Arabidopsis thaliana: one gene and its partner. The protein of the gene in region 1 interacts with the protein of each later gene in a pairwise test. Each region holds a gene or a part of one and is shown in the gene's direction. Other genes may lie near its edges.

Region 1 (4,277 bases):
GATTTTAAGTAACAGCAAGATGAGATAGTGAATTAGGATAGTATAAGCTAAGTAAGCAATCAAGTATTCATCTTTTTTTTTTTGGTTTGATTTGGTTGTAGTGTAGAGTGTCTTTGTTTCTTTTAGTTTTAAAGCTGTTGGTTTCTTGTGTGTTTTAATAGATTATCAACATTTGAACTCCCTCGCATTGTAGAACTCACAGAGGAAAGAGTAAGGAAGCAAAGGACTCATTTTTTTTATGATTGTTGTTTTGTTTGCAGCTTATAATGCTACTGTGGAGTTATTTCTCTGTTGTTGTGACGGACCCTGGTGGTGTTCCAACGGGTTGGAGGCCAGAATTAGACATAGAGAAAAGCGAGGGAAACCAAGCTTTGATTGGAGAAGCTTCGGTTGGAGATTCCTCGTCTCATGGTGTAAGATATTGTAGAAAGTGCAATCAATATAAACCGCCTCGTTCTCACCATTGTTCAGTCTGTAAGTCTCTTCAATGAGTGATTCTTTTCTTTGAATCCGGTATATGTGTTTTTTAGTAGTGAAAAAGTTGTCATATTGGGTTTTCAGGTGGAAGATGCATACTAAAGATGGACCATCACTGTGTTTGGGTGGTGAATTGTGTTGGTGCAAATAACTACAAATCATTTCTCCTATTCTTGGTATGTCAACTTATCATAGCATCGCTGAACGAAGTTGTTTTTGATATGTTCTGTTCATTAATGTTGCCATGATCATAATCCATTCCCAATATCTCAAAAATGCAGTTTTACACATTTCTTGAGACAACGGTGGTTGCAGTATCACTATTGCCAATTTTCCTCGTATTCTTCAGCGATGGAGATGGTGATATAACCGTATCACCAGGAAGCCTAGCAGCCAGCTTTGTTGCATTTGGTGAGTTCAAAGATATAGAAATCTCAGTTTCCGTTTTTGTTTCAGAACACCTTAACGTTACCATCTGATTCAAAAACTTCACTCTCTTGCTTTCCAGTATTGAACATAGCATTTGCCCTAAGTGTCCTAGGCTTCCTAATAATGCACATAATGTTGGTCGCTCGTAACACCACAACTATTGAGGTAAAGCAACAACTCTCACTTGGTTTTGCTCTTAACTTGGGTTCTCTCAGGAATCTCCATGTCAATAAACTCACTGACCAAACTAATGGTTTCTTTAATCTCAGGCGTATGAGAAGCATACAGTGAACTGGCCATACAACGTTGGTCGTAAGACAAACTTTGAACAGGTTCGCTCTCCATCTTCTTTGTTTCACTCGTTCTTCAGTGACTGATTCGTTTCCCCGCTACTTAGATAATATCTTTGACATCGAACACAATGAAAGCTTTAAAAAGTTTGGTCTCTATTCCTTTGTTGAATCAGGTTTTTGGAAGTGATAAAATGTATTGGTTCGTGCCATTGTACACGGAAGACGATAAGAAGAAGTTGCCAGCACTTGGAGGGTTAGACTTTACGAGCAGGTCGGAGTCCGAGACAGAGCCGCTTCAGTCTCTATGACCTTACAAACTTGAAATTTTTGGAAGTGTGTCTTCTGCTTTGTGTATGTATCAATCAAATATTATATCAAACATTGTCTTGTGTATTATAAAGATTAGTGCCTATTGTGGAATTTGTATCTTTTTATTTCGTGAAAAGAAATTTCTCAAACTTCTTAAATATACCATTTTCACATTTGCTTAAATATACCATTTTCATTTTTTCACTATTGATAATAATAACATGTTATTTATCATAAAAAATAAAAAAATCACGACACGTGAATGATGTACTGTAACTATCAAAGATTTGACGTACCACATACTTTCTGTATGTTTTTGATCGAATCAAAAATAATTATTTTTGTCCTTTTTTGTTTTATTGTTATTTTATAATGTAATACTTTTACTAAAATAATTTTTTTTAAAAACTAAATTTCTGGTCTATATAATTTTGGCCAAATATGTACATATTTAAAATCCAGAGTCAACCATTTAACAAACACTTGGAAATTTAATTAATTATTATGCCCTGTTTAGTAGAAAATCCATTAAAAATTACAGAAATGGTCTGCGTGTCGCATTGAACCAATCATATCTCGACATCTGTAAATACAGTTGGAGAAGATTTTTTCTTCTTCTGCTGGCCAAAAAAAAACATTGCATTAAAAAGGGTTCAAAGAAAAATTCTCAAATTCTCTAACAAAGAGCTCTGAGATTTTTGGAAATCTGAATCGTTGTTCGAGGTATGAACTTTTGGATCACTCTCCTTGAATCTGCTCTTTGATTCGATTTCGTACTTGAATTTCGCAATTTTGGAGTTTTCTCTCGCTTCGTTATACTGATCGTTTAGGGCTTGAAATTGAAGGTTTAATGTTACCATTTCCGGCAATGAACTTGAAGAAGTCTCGATCGGAAAACTCATCAGTTGCTTCATCTGGAAGTAAGATTGAGGAGCAGACTGAGAAATCAGCTGAACCAACAACCATTAAGGTAAACCTCACTAAACCTAAACCCGGTTTCAATTTTGCTTTGTGGTCTCTCTTTACCACACAGATCTTATCATTGAATTCTATCTCTTAATTAGGGTTTTAGTTGAGAATCTTAAGGTTTTTTTTCAACCAGTTTCGAAGACTTAGTTACTAGTGTTATTTGACGAACTGATGCAGACATAAAGGTTATAACTTTATTTCTCGTTGTGTCTTTGGCTGATCAGTTATGTATAAAATTTAATCAATATTTATGCTATTTAAGGTTTCGCAGTGACCCTTTTCTTCAAATTTGGTTTTTGATTCTGCATGTTCTCAGTATCACTCTTTTGGTGGTGTCCCTGTTTTGACTTTTGTGTTTCTCTACGCATGTTTTCTCATCTTGCTATATATTAAACGATTTGTAGTATGATTCTGTTGATCCAAGTAGCTTGTGAGTGACTGTTCTTCTTTTCACCGAGATTCCATATTTGTATTGTGCAGGTGCAGAAAAAAGCCGGTACTCCAGGGAGGTCGATAGATGTCTTTGCTGTGCAGTGTGAGAAGTGCATGAAGTGGAGGAAGATTGATACTCAAGATGAGTATGAAGATATCAGAAGTAGAGTACAAGAGGACCCGTTTTTTTGCAAGACGAAAGAAGGTGTGTCCTGTGAAGATGTTGGAGATCTAAACTATGATTCCTCCAGAACATGGGTCATCGACAAGCCTGGCTTGCCGAGGACACCAAGAGGGTTCAAAAGGAGCTTAATTCTGAGAAAGGATTACTCGAAAATGGATGCGTACTACATAACTCCTACTGGGAAGAAGCTCAAGTCTCGTAATGAAATCGCAGCCTTCATCGATGCCAATCAGGATTACAAGTATGCACTGCTTGGAGATTTCAATTTCACAGTCCCAAAGGTGATGGAAGAGACGGTTCCTAGTGGGATATTATCTGACAGGACCCCCAAGCCATCAAGGAAAGTTACAATTGATTGAGCTACATAGCGCTTCCCAGCTTCTTATGGTGTTGAAGTTGTTATTGGAGTCAGTTTTAGGTTTCTATCTGGTTTAGTCTTTTAAGGGTGTCGGACTTCTTACTGTAGAATGTTTCTTAAACTCATCTCTTTGACTCTGATTGGATCTTTATTTTCTAATGAAGGATTATCTTTTCTTCTCTTTTTGTTATGTCACAAGTCACAACTACATGAATCGCTCTGGTTTTCACTCAGTGTGTACAAACAAACACGACAAAGTATATTCAAGCAGCATGTGTACAACTTCTTCTACTCCAAGCGCACCCTCTGCTATAGCGTGCGGTGTGCAAGTCCTCGCTTATGGGCTATTTATCCCATTCAACATTGAGTATTGGTCATAACCTCTTGGGACTGAGAGCTTTATGAAAAGAAGCCTTAAACAATGATTGCATATTTGGGATTTTCAAAAAGAAGACTCACAACATAACTTTATGTATGTTTCCGCTCTTGGGTTTTCTGACCAGCCCTTGAAGCTAGTCCTTTCTCAAGGTTTTGTGTATGTTTCATTAGTTTTTGTTTGTATCTGGAGTCTACCGTTTATTAGAAGTTTAGGTTGCTCCTTCCACCGTCCTTACTCCTTGGTTTAGTTGAATAAGCAGTTTTCTCATGTGGTCTTACTTGGTATGTAAAGGCTAACCTTTTGTGGGCATGCAAAGTTCTAAATTTAGACTCTTTAGGATGAAGATTACATGGCTACAATTTTTGATTCTTATATGTGATTTTTTCTTCTTGTTATTCGTCGTATTTGGGGTCCTTTTTCGCGATTTACATTTGCCTCGAAGACTGC
Region 2 (6,514 bases), on another chromosome or scaffold:
TATTCTATATAATAACCATCTACTTATTACCTTTTAAGAAATTATCAAGATTTACTTTTTTGTTTTTGTTGTAGACATTATTAAAATTGGTGACGTCCAAGTCATGGAAGAAATTCCTAGGTTTTATTAGAGACCAACTCTTTCACCTCATTTGTTGGGCTTATGCAGCCTCTGACTTAGTCAGTGCTACTAGAATTATGCGCAACTGGGAGGTAGAGTATATTCCTCTGTGTCCATGGTATCTTTGCTCCTTTTGTCGACCAGAGTATCTTGGAGAAGATGAAAATCCTGAGAAAGAAGATGATGAAAATCCTGAGAAAGGGCATTACTGTTATGGAAATGATATAGAGGATTGCCTACTATACATCAAACAGCATGGCATTCCTAGAGAGATCTGCAAGAAGTTTGACTGTAAGGACTGGCAGCCTCCAAATGCTGACGACCCACATATGCACACGACAAAATTAAAGAGTGTTCGAAAAATTGAATCAATGGAGGAGGCGTTGCTATTGCTTCCACATTTTCCCATAGGAGCGGACTTAGTTGTTTTTAAGGAATTGTGGACCGTAGGAGAGGAGATTTATTATGGTCCCGGAACAAATTCCAGAGGTTTCCGCTCATATCATGCAGTGATAGTATCCAGTATTGAGATCTATAAAGGAGAAGTGGTGGCCATCTGTAAGATGAGCAATGGTACTAAAGTTTGTGACGAAGGATATGTTAGGGTTTCTCTAGCGACAACATACATGGTTGTGGGTGCCAGTCCTAAAAAAAAAGAACATGTTCGGGCTACTTCTAAGCCGATGCATCTTCTCTCTGAATTCATCATCATAGATATAGATGAGAATGAGAAAGAGAAAGAAAGAGAGAGAGAGAAAGAAACTGAAAGCGAAGAGGAGAATCCAGAAGATAACCAGAAAGGGAATCCAGAACATAACCCGAAAGAGAAGTCCGAAGAGATGCAATATCCTGACTTTGGTGCTAGCAAGTTTCATAACTCCTTGAACGAGCACATCATGCCTGATTCTGACAAGGTACAGAGACGTGAATACCTGTGTATATCTCCTGTTTTACTCAAACCAACTATTTTGGTGTGGCACATGAATTTGAACGGAATCGGGACTCAGGGCCAATTTTTTTCATATTTTCCAACAGGATAAATACCTGATTCTGCACAATAGTTTCTTGGTTGTGTGATATTGTTCTTTCCATTATCGTGTTCTTCTTATTTTAGCCGTTTTCTGACATTTTTTCAATGATTCCAGAGCTTGGGCAATGTAAGTGGAGAAGAAATCAAGATGGTTACGGAAGGTTTGACAAGTTTGAGTAAATTTGGAGAGAAAGGTCCTCAAGAAAGAATGCACGAACCTGTAGAAATTGTTGAAAGGTAAGCTGATTTGGATCCAAAGTTGAATGTGAGTCTTTTGAATGTTTGTGACTTGTGATTCATGGTTGTATGTTTCCTTTTTGCTACGACAGAGGAAAACGGCCTGCAAATGAAGCCGGTAATGATGTGGGTACAAAGAAGGCCCGTACAGAGTCATCAGGTTGTGCACATGGGATTTGAGGGAATCACTTTCATGGCCTATTTTAGTAAAACAAGAGTATTTCTTTTGTCTATTAGCCAGGTACAAGTTTTTGTTGGCTTTTTAAGGCTCCTTAACATGTCACGGGACGAAAAAGAGAGAAACAAAACAACAATACCAAGACATTGATATGCAAATGGGCCTCATAAGTAGACCCATTAAGAATATAATGCATAATGAAGCCCAAATTACGCCGTTTCTCCGTTCCCTTTGTCTTCTGAGCGACCTTGCAAGGCTCTCTCTTCTTTTTTTCTTCTTCTTCTCAACTCACCCACCGAGTTTCTTCTCAATTCTCGCGGGACATTTCGCGGGCGAGGGAAAAAGGTAAAATTTTTGGCGGATAGAGAGATCGAAAAAGCTTAACATTTAGTGTCTGGGTTGTTTTCTTATCTCGTAGAAATTTAGAAAATTCAATACTCAGCTTAGCAATACCCAAATCTAACCTCGTTATAGCTAAGATTACTTTATCGCGTTTTTTCTTCTCTTGTGCTCATCGAAAACCATATCAAGGGTCGATCTGTGTTTTTTGTCTGATGTTCTTGTTTAAGATCTCTGTCAAGCACGTAAGTAGCTTAGGAACTAGACGAAGCAATCGCAGAAATATTTACCAAGCTCCCATTTTTCTTTTGTGGGTTTTTCTCTTGTGTTTGCTCATATTGATTCTGATCTGATATACGTGTGTTTTGCTTCTTTGTTTGATTATATAGGAATCTACAAGTATTTAAACCTTTGCTGATTTAGAAACGCCTGAGTGCATCATCTTCGAGGATAGCAGTATAAACATAGCTAGTTGATTGTAGAGAATGTATAAAGCAGTAAGTAAGCGGGTAACTAGAAGTAGTGGATCTGGTTTGAAGCAGACAAATGTAGATAATGGAGGAGAGATTAGTCCAACTGTTGACAGAGTATCTGAACAAGGCAAATCATCAGAGGCAGGGAGTCACATGCCAACTGATGCAAACGGAAATGGACATTTGCATCATGAGATTATGGATCATGGAAAGGGGAATGAAGAACAGAAACCAACCCCTCAAACCGTGAAGAAGGATTCTAATACCAATACCAAATTTTCAGGGTCTCATCGTGAGCTTGTCATCGGTCTTCCTTGCCGTGGACAATTTGAAATCCACAACCGGTCCAGGGCATCTACGAGTTCGAAGAGGTTAGGAGGAGGTGGAGAAAGGAATGTGTTGTTTGCAAGTCACAAGAGAGCTCAGAGATCTAAGGAAGATGCTGGACCATCTTCGGTTGTTGCTAATTCCACACCTGTAGGTCGACCAAAGAAAAAGAATAAGACTATGAACAAAGGACAAGTTAGAGAAGATGATGAGTACACAAGAATCAAAAAGAAACTTCGATACTTTCTAAACCGGATTAACTATGAGCAAAGCCTAATTGACGCCTATTCGTTAGAAGGCTGGAAAGGTTCAAGGTTTGTCTCTTGATGACATTTGTTTTCCCTCTTATTCATGCATTATTTGAGAGTTATAGGTATCCTCTGTGAGATATATTTCTGATCTCACTCAGTCTTGTTGATTATGTGTTCTTTGTAGCCTGGAAAAGATAAGGCCAGAGAAAGAGCTTGAACGAGCCACAAAGGAAATTTTGCGGCGCAAGCTTAAAATTAGAGATCTTTTTCAGCACCTTGACACACTCTGTGCTGAAGGAAGCCTTCCAGAGTCTTTATTTGATACTGATGGAGAGATTTCTAGCGAGGATGTAAGAGAATATTGTTCTGAACTCAACCTTTGTTCCCTTGTTTATCCTGATAGAACCAGTTTGTGTCTCTAGAAGTATTGATAATACGAGCAGTTGTTTAATCGCAGATCTTCTGTGCAAAATGTGGTTCAAAGGACTTGTCTGTTGATAATGATATCATACTATGCGATGGGTTTTGCGATCGAGGCTTTCACCAATACTGTCTTGAACCACCTCTGCGGAAAGAAGATAGTAATATTCTCTGCCTACGTACTTGGTAGTGTTTTAAGCAGTTCTTGCTGGTATCTACAGCTGTCTTTTTTGTTGGTTTTAATTTTTGTAGTTCCTCCGGATGATGAGGGTTGGCTATGCCCCGGATGTGATTGCAAAGATGACAGCTTGGACTTGCTTAATGATTCTTTAGGGACAAAATTTTCGGTCAGCGACAGTTGGGAGGTATATAACTATATATGTTGAGGTTTTTATTGTTAAAGAGGAGAAAACACTTAAAAACACACCTGCCTTGAACTTTTGTGTAGAAAATATTTCCTGAGGCAGCAGCAGCGCTGGTTGGTGGAGGTCAAAATCTTGACTGTGATCTTCCTTCAGATGATTCTGATGATGAAGAGTATGATCCAGATTGTTTGAATGATAATGAAAATGATGAAGATGGCAGTGATGACAATGAAGAATCTGAGAACGAAGATGGTAGTTCTGATGAAACTGAATTCACATCTGCATCTGACGAAATGATTGAGTCATTTAAAGAAGGGAAAGATATAATGAAAGATGTAATGGCCCTTCCATCTGATGATTCTGAGGATGATGACTATGATCCTGATGCCCCGACTTGTGATGATGATAAAGAAAGTTCAAATTCTGATTGTACATCAGACACTGAAGATCTTGAAACTTCCTTCAAAGGAGATGAGACTAATCAGCAAGCTGAAGATACACCACTTGAGGATCCTGGCAGACAGACGTCTCAGCTCCAAGGTGATGCAATTTTAGAGTCAGATGTTGGGCTTGATGATGGTCCTGCCGGTGTATCCAGAAGGAGGAATGTTGAAAGGCTGGATTACAAAAAGTTGTATGATGTGAGTGATCTCTCTTTTTCTTGATAATCGATTTCTATCTGGCTTTGGAAAAACCTCTGAATGGTATTTTTCTTCTATGTGCAGGAGGAATATGACAATGTTCCGACTTCGTCAAGTGATGATGACGATTGGGATAAAACTGCAAGAATGGGAAAAGAAGATTCCGAGTCGGAAGATGAAGGGGACACTGTACCTCTGAAACAGTCTTCAAATGCAGAAGATCATACTTCTAAGAAACTTATACGGAAGTCGAAAAGGGCAGATAAAAAGGATACCTTAGAAATGCCACAAGAAGGTCCTGGAGAAAATGGTGGTTCTGGTGAAATTGAAAAAAGCAGCTCTTCAGCATGTAAACAGACAGATCCCAAAACTCAGGTAAAAAGATATAGCTGTCTTGAGGCTTTAAGGTGCCAATCTTACATTATTATGAGGGAGGGAGCAATGGATTGAAAGGATCCCTCTTTTATGCAGAGACTGTACATATCTTTTCAAGAGAATCAATATCCAGACAAAGCCACGAAGGAGAGCTTAGCCAAAGAGCTACAAATGACAGTTAAGCAAGTAAGAAGTTTCTCCTAGTAAATTGTTTGTTTAGTTCTCCCTTTTAGTCGACCTAGTTTCATCTCTGCTAAGAACTGATTATGTTCTGTAGGTTAATAACTGGTTTAAGCATAGGCGTTGGTCGATAAACAGCAAACCTTTAGTTTCAGAGGAAAATGTCGAGAAGTTAAAAACAGGCAAGGAAGGTGAATGTGAGACATCTGTTGCTGGAAGTAGCAAACAAACTATGGAAACCGAGTCAGTTGCAGAGAAACCAACCAATACTGGATCACGGAAAAGAAGAAGAAAGTAGACTTTAGATTCAATCATGAAGGTTTTAGATCTAATGCAAGGACAATACTGGAACACATACTTACCCAAACCCCGAGATATGAAGACACCAAACCCTGCAAAGCATCGGGTTTGTTCAGTTCTTTGTTTCACATTTTTGGGGTACTTTGAAGACCTTGAAATTTGAGGCAAAAGAAAGAAAGAAAGATTTTCTTCGAAATTGGATGATAGGTTCATTTTTAACAGTTAAAGAAGTTAAGGCTTTGTGTTATGATTATGAAAGTTTTTGTTTATTTCCATCTGGAGAGATGTTTTGAGTTATGGTTTCTGTAATCGATAGAGACCGGTTTAAGAGATCAAGAGATTTAAACTTTAAAAGTCTTGTTTGAACCGGTTTTAAACCCTCAAATGTGAACGTTTAACCGGTCTGTAATTGCTTATTATTAAAGGCCCATTAAGAGCCCATGGATGTTTATGATACAGTATTAGAGTCCTAGAATTGGGTAACGTGTTGCAGAAGGTAAACGAAAATGAAGAAGGTGCTGAGAGTATACGGCGGCGTTATGAGGCTGGTGAGACTTTTGCCGGCGGATTCAAGGCCGTATTACGCCAAGTACGCCAGGGAGAATTTCGTTAATTACCGTGAAGTCGATCAAAGCGAAACATCCCTCGACGAACTCTTCCAGCGAGCCTATAATCACTCACTTTGGGTACTCAAGAAGGTAACAAAGATTCTGGGTTTCTTTTAAATCTAGGTACCCTTTGTGTTAACTGTCTGTTCTCAATCATTTGCAGTACTCAATTGACGAATCAGCAGCGACGAAGTTGAAAGAGATTTGTTTTGAATAATAACGCACACCAAGTGTTCGACGTTATGTCCCTGAGAGTGTTGGAACAAGTTTGGACGATTTGTTAAATGGGTACCATCAGTTTTCTACTTTTGATAGCTATATCAAGAACAGGGGTTGTTCATGTGTCTTTGTCTTTCCTTTTTAGTTGTCTTGACTTTCTGTGATTGACTGCTGAATTGGTCGTTGTCTTGTTTGAGTAGCTAGCTTCTTGTTTGTTTCCATGATCCTGAATAAAATTGTTACATTCTTAGATTCGAAAACATCACATTACTTAATCTCATCTTTGGTAATGAAAGAAACTCATCAGAGCAAAGTAGAAGTGGCAGTTAAGTAATAACGAGAGAGAAAGATTAGGGATTGTTTGGGTAATTAAAGTGATATATATGTAGCTAAGGGACAATAAACAGTAGCTAAGAGTTTAGGTCCTTGTCGAAAACTCGAAAATCTTATA

The links. Proteins that work in one complex are often made in the same cells at the same time.
Region 2: the proteins of MBD1 (region 1) and HAT3.1 interact in a two-hybrid assay, tested with the Arabidopsis thaliana proteins (one large-scale study listed by BioGRID).

What each region holds. Positions count from the first base shown.
Region 1 is NC_003075.7:11,946,596-11,950,872, reverse strand, and holds MBD1 (methyl-CPG-binding domain 1), read left to right. Parts: upstream 1-2,068; 5' UTR 2,069-2,231; intron 2,232-2,353; 5' UTR 2,354-2,358; coding exon 2,359-2,478; intron 2,479-2,957; coding exon 2,958-3,452; 3' UTR 3,453-3,663; downstream 3,664-4,277. Other genes in the region: AT4G22750 (DHHC-type zinc finger protein), read left to right, coding at 261-474, 562-653, 759-888, 986-1,071, 1,176-1,238, 1,373-1,507. UniProt on the Arabidopsis thaliana protein: Probable transcriptional regulator.
Region 2 is NC_003074.8:6,761,925-6,768,438, reverse strand, and holds HAT3.1 (Homeodomain-like protein with RING/FYVE/PHD-type zinc finger domain-containing protein), read left to right. Parts: upstream 1-1,841; 5' UTR 1,842-1,910; intron 1,911-1,959; exon of another isoform or gene 1,960-2,149; intron 2,150-2,293; 5' UTR 2,294-2,389; coding exon 2,390-3,018; intron 3,019-3,139; coding exon 3,140-3,305; intron 3,306-3,412; coding exon 3,413-3,536; intron 3,537-3,627; coding exon 3,628-3,740; intron 3,741-3,823; coding exon 3,824-4,381; intron 4,382-4,465; coding exon 4,466-4,756; intron 4,757-4,852; coding exon 4,853-4,942; intron 4,943-5,033; coding exon 5,034-5,234; 3' UTR 5,235-5,678; downstream 5,679-6,514. Other genes in the region: AT3G19515 (apoptosis inhibitor), read left to right, coding at 75-1,034, 1,266-1,387, 1,480-1,567; AT3G19508 (complex 1 protein, LYR family protein), read left to right, coding at 5,743-5,934, 6,008-6,061. UniProt on the Arabidopsis thaliana protein: Binds only to large DNA fragments. Recognizes a DNA fragment carrying 8 copies of box7 motif of the light-induced cab-E promoter of Nicotiana plumbaginifolia. Also recognizes the box7m1 motif.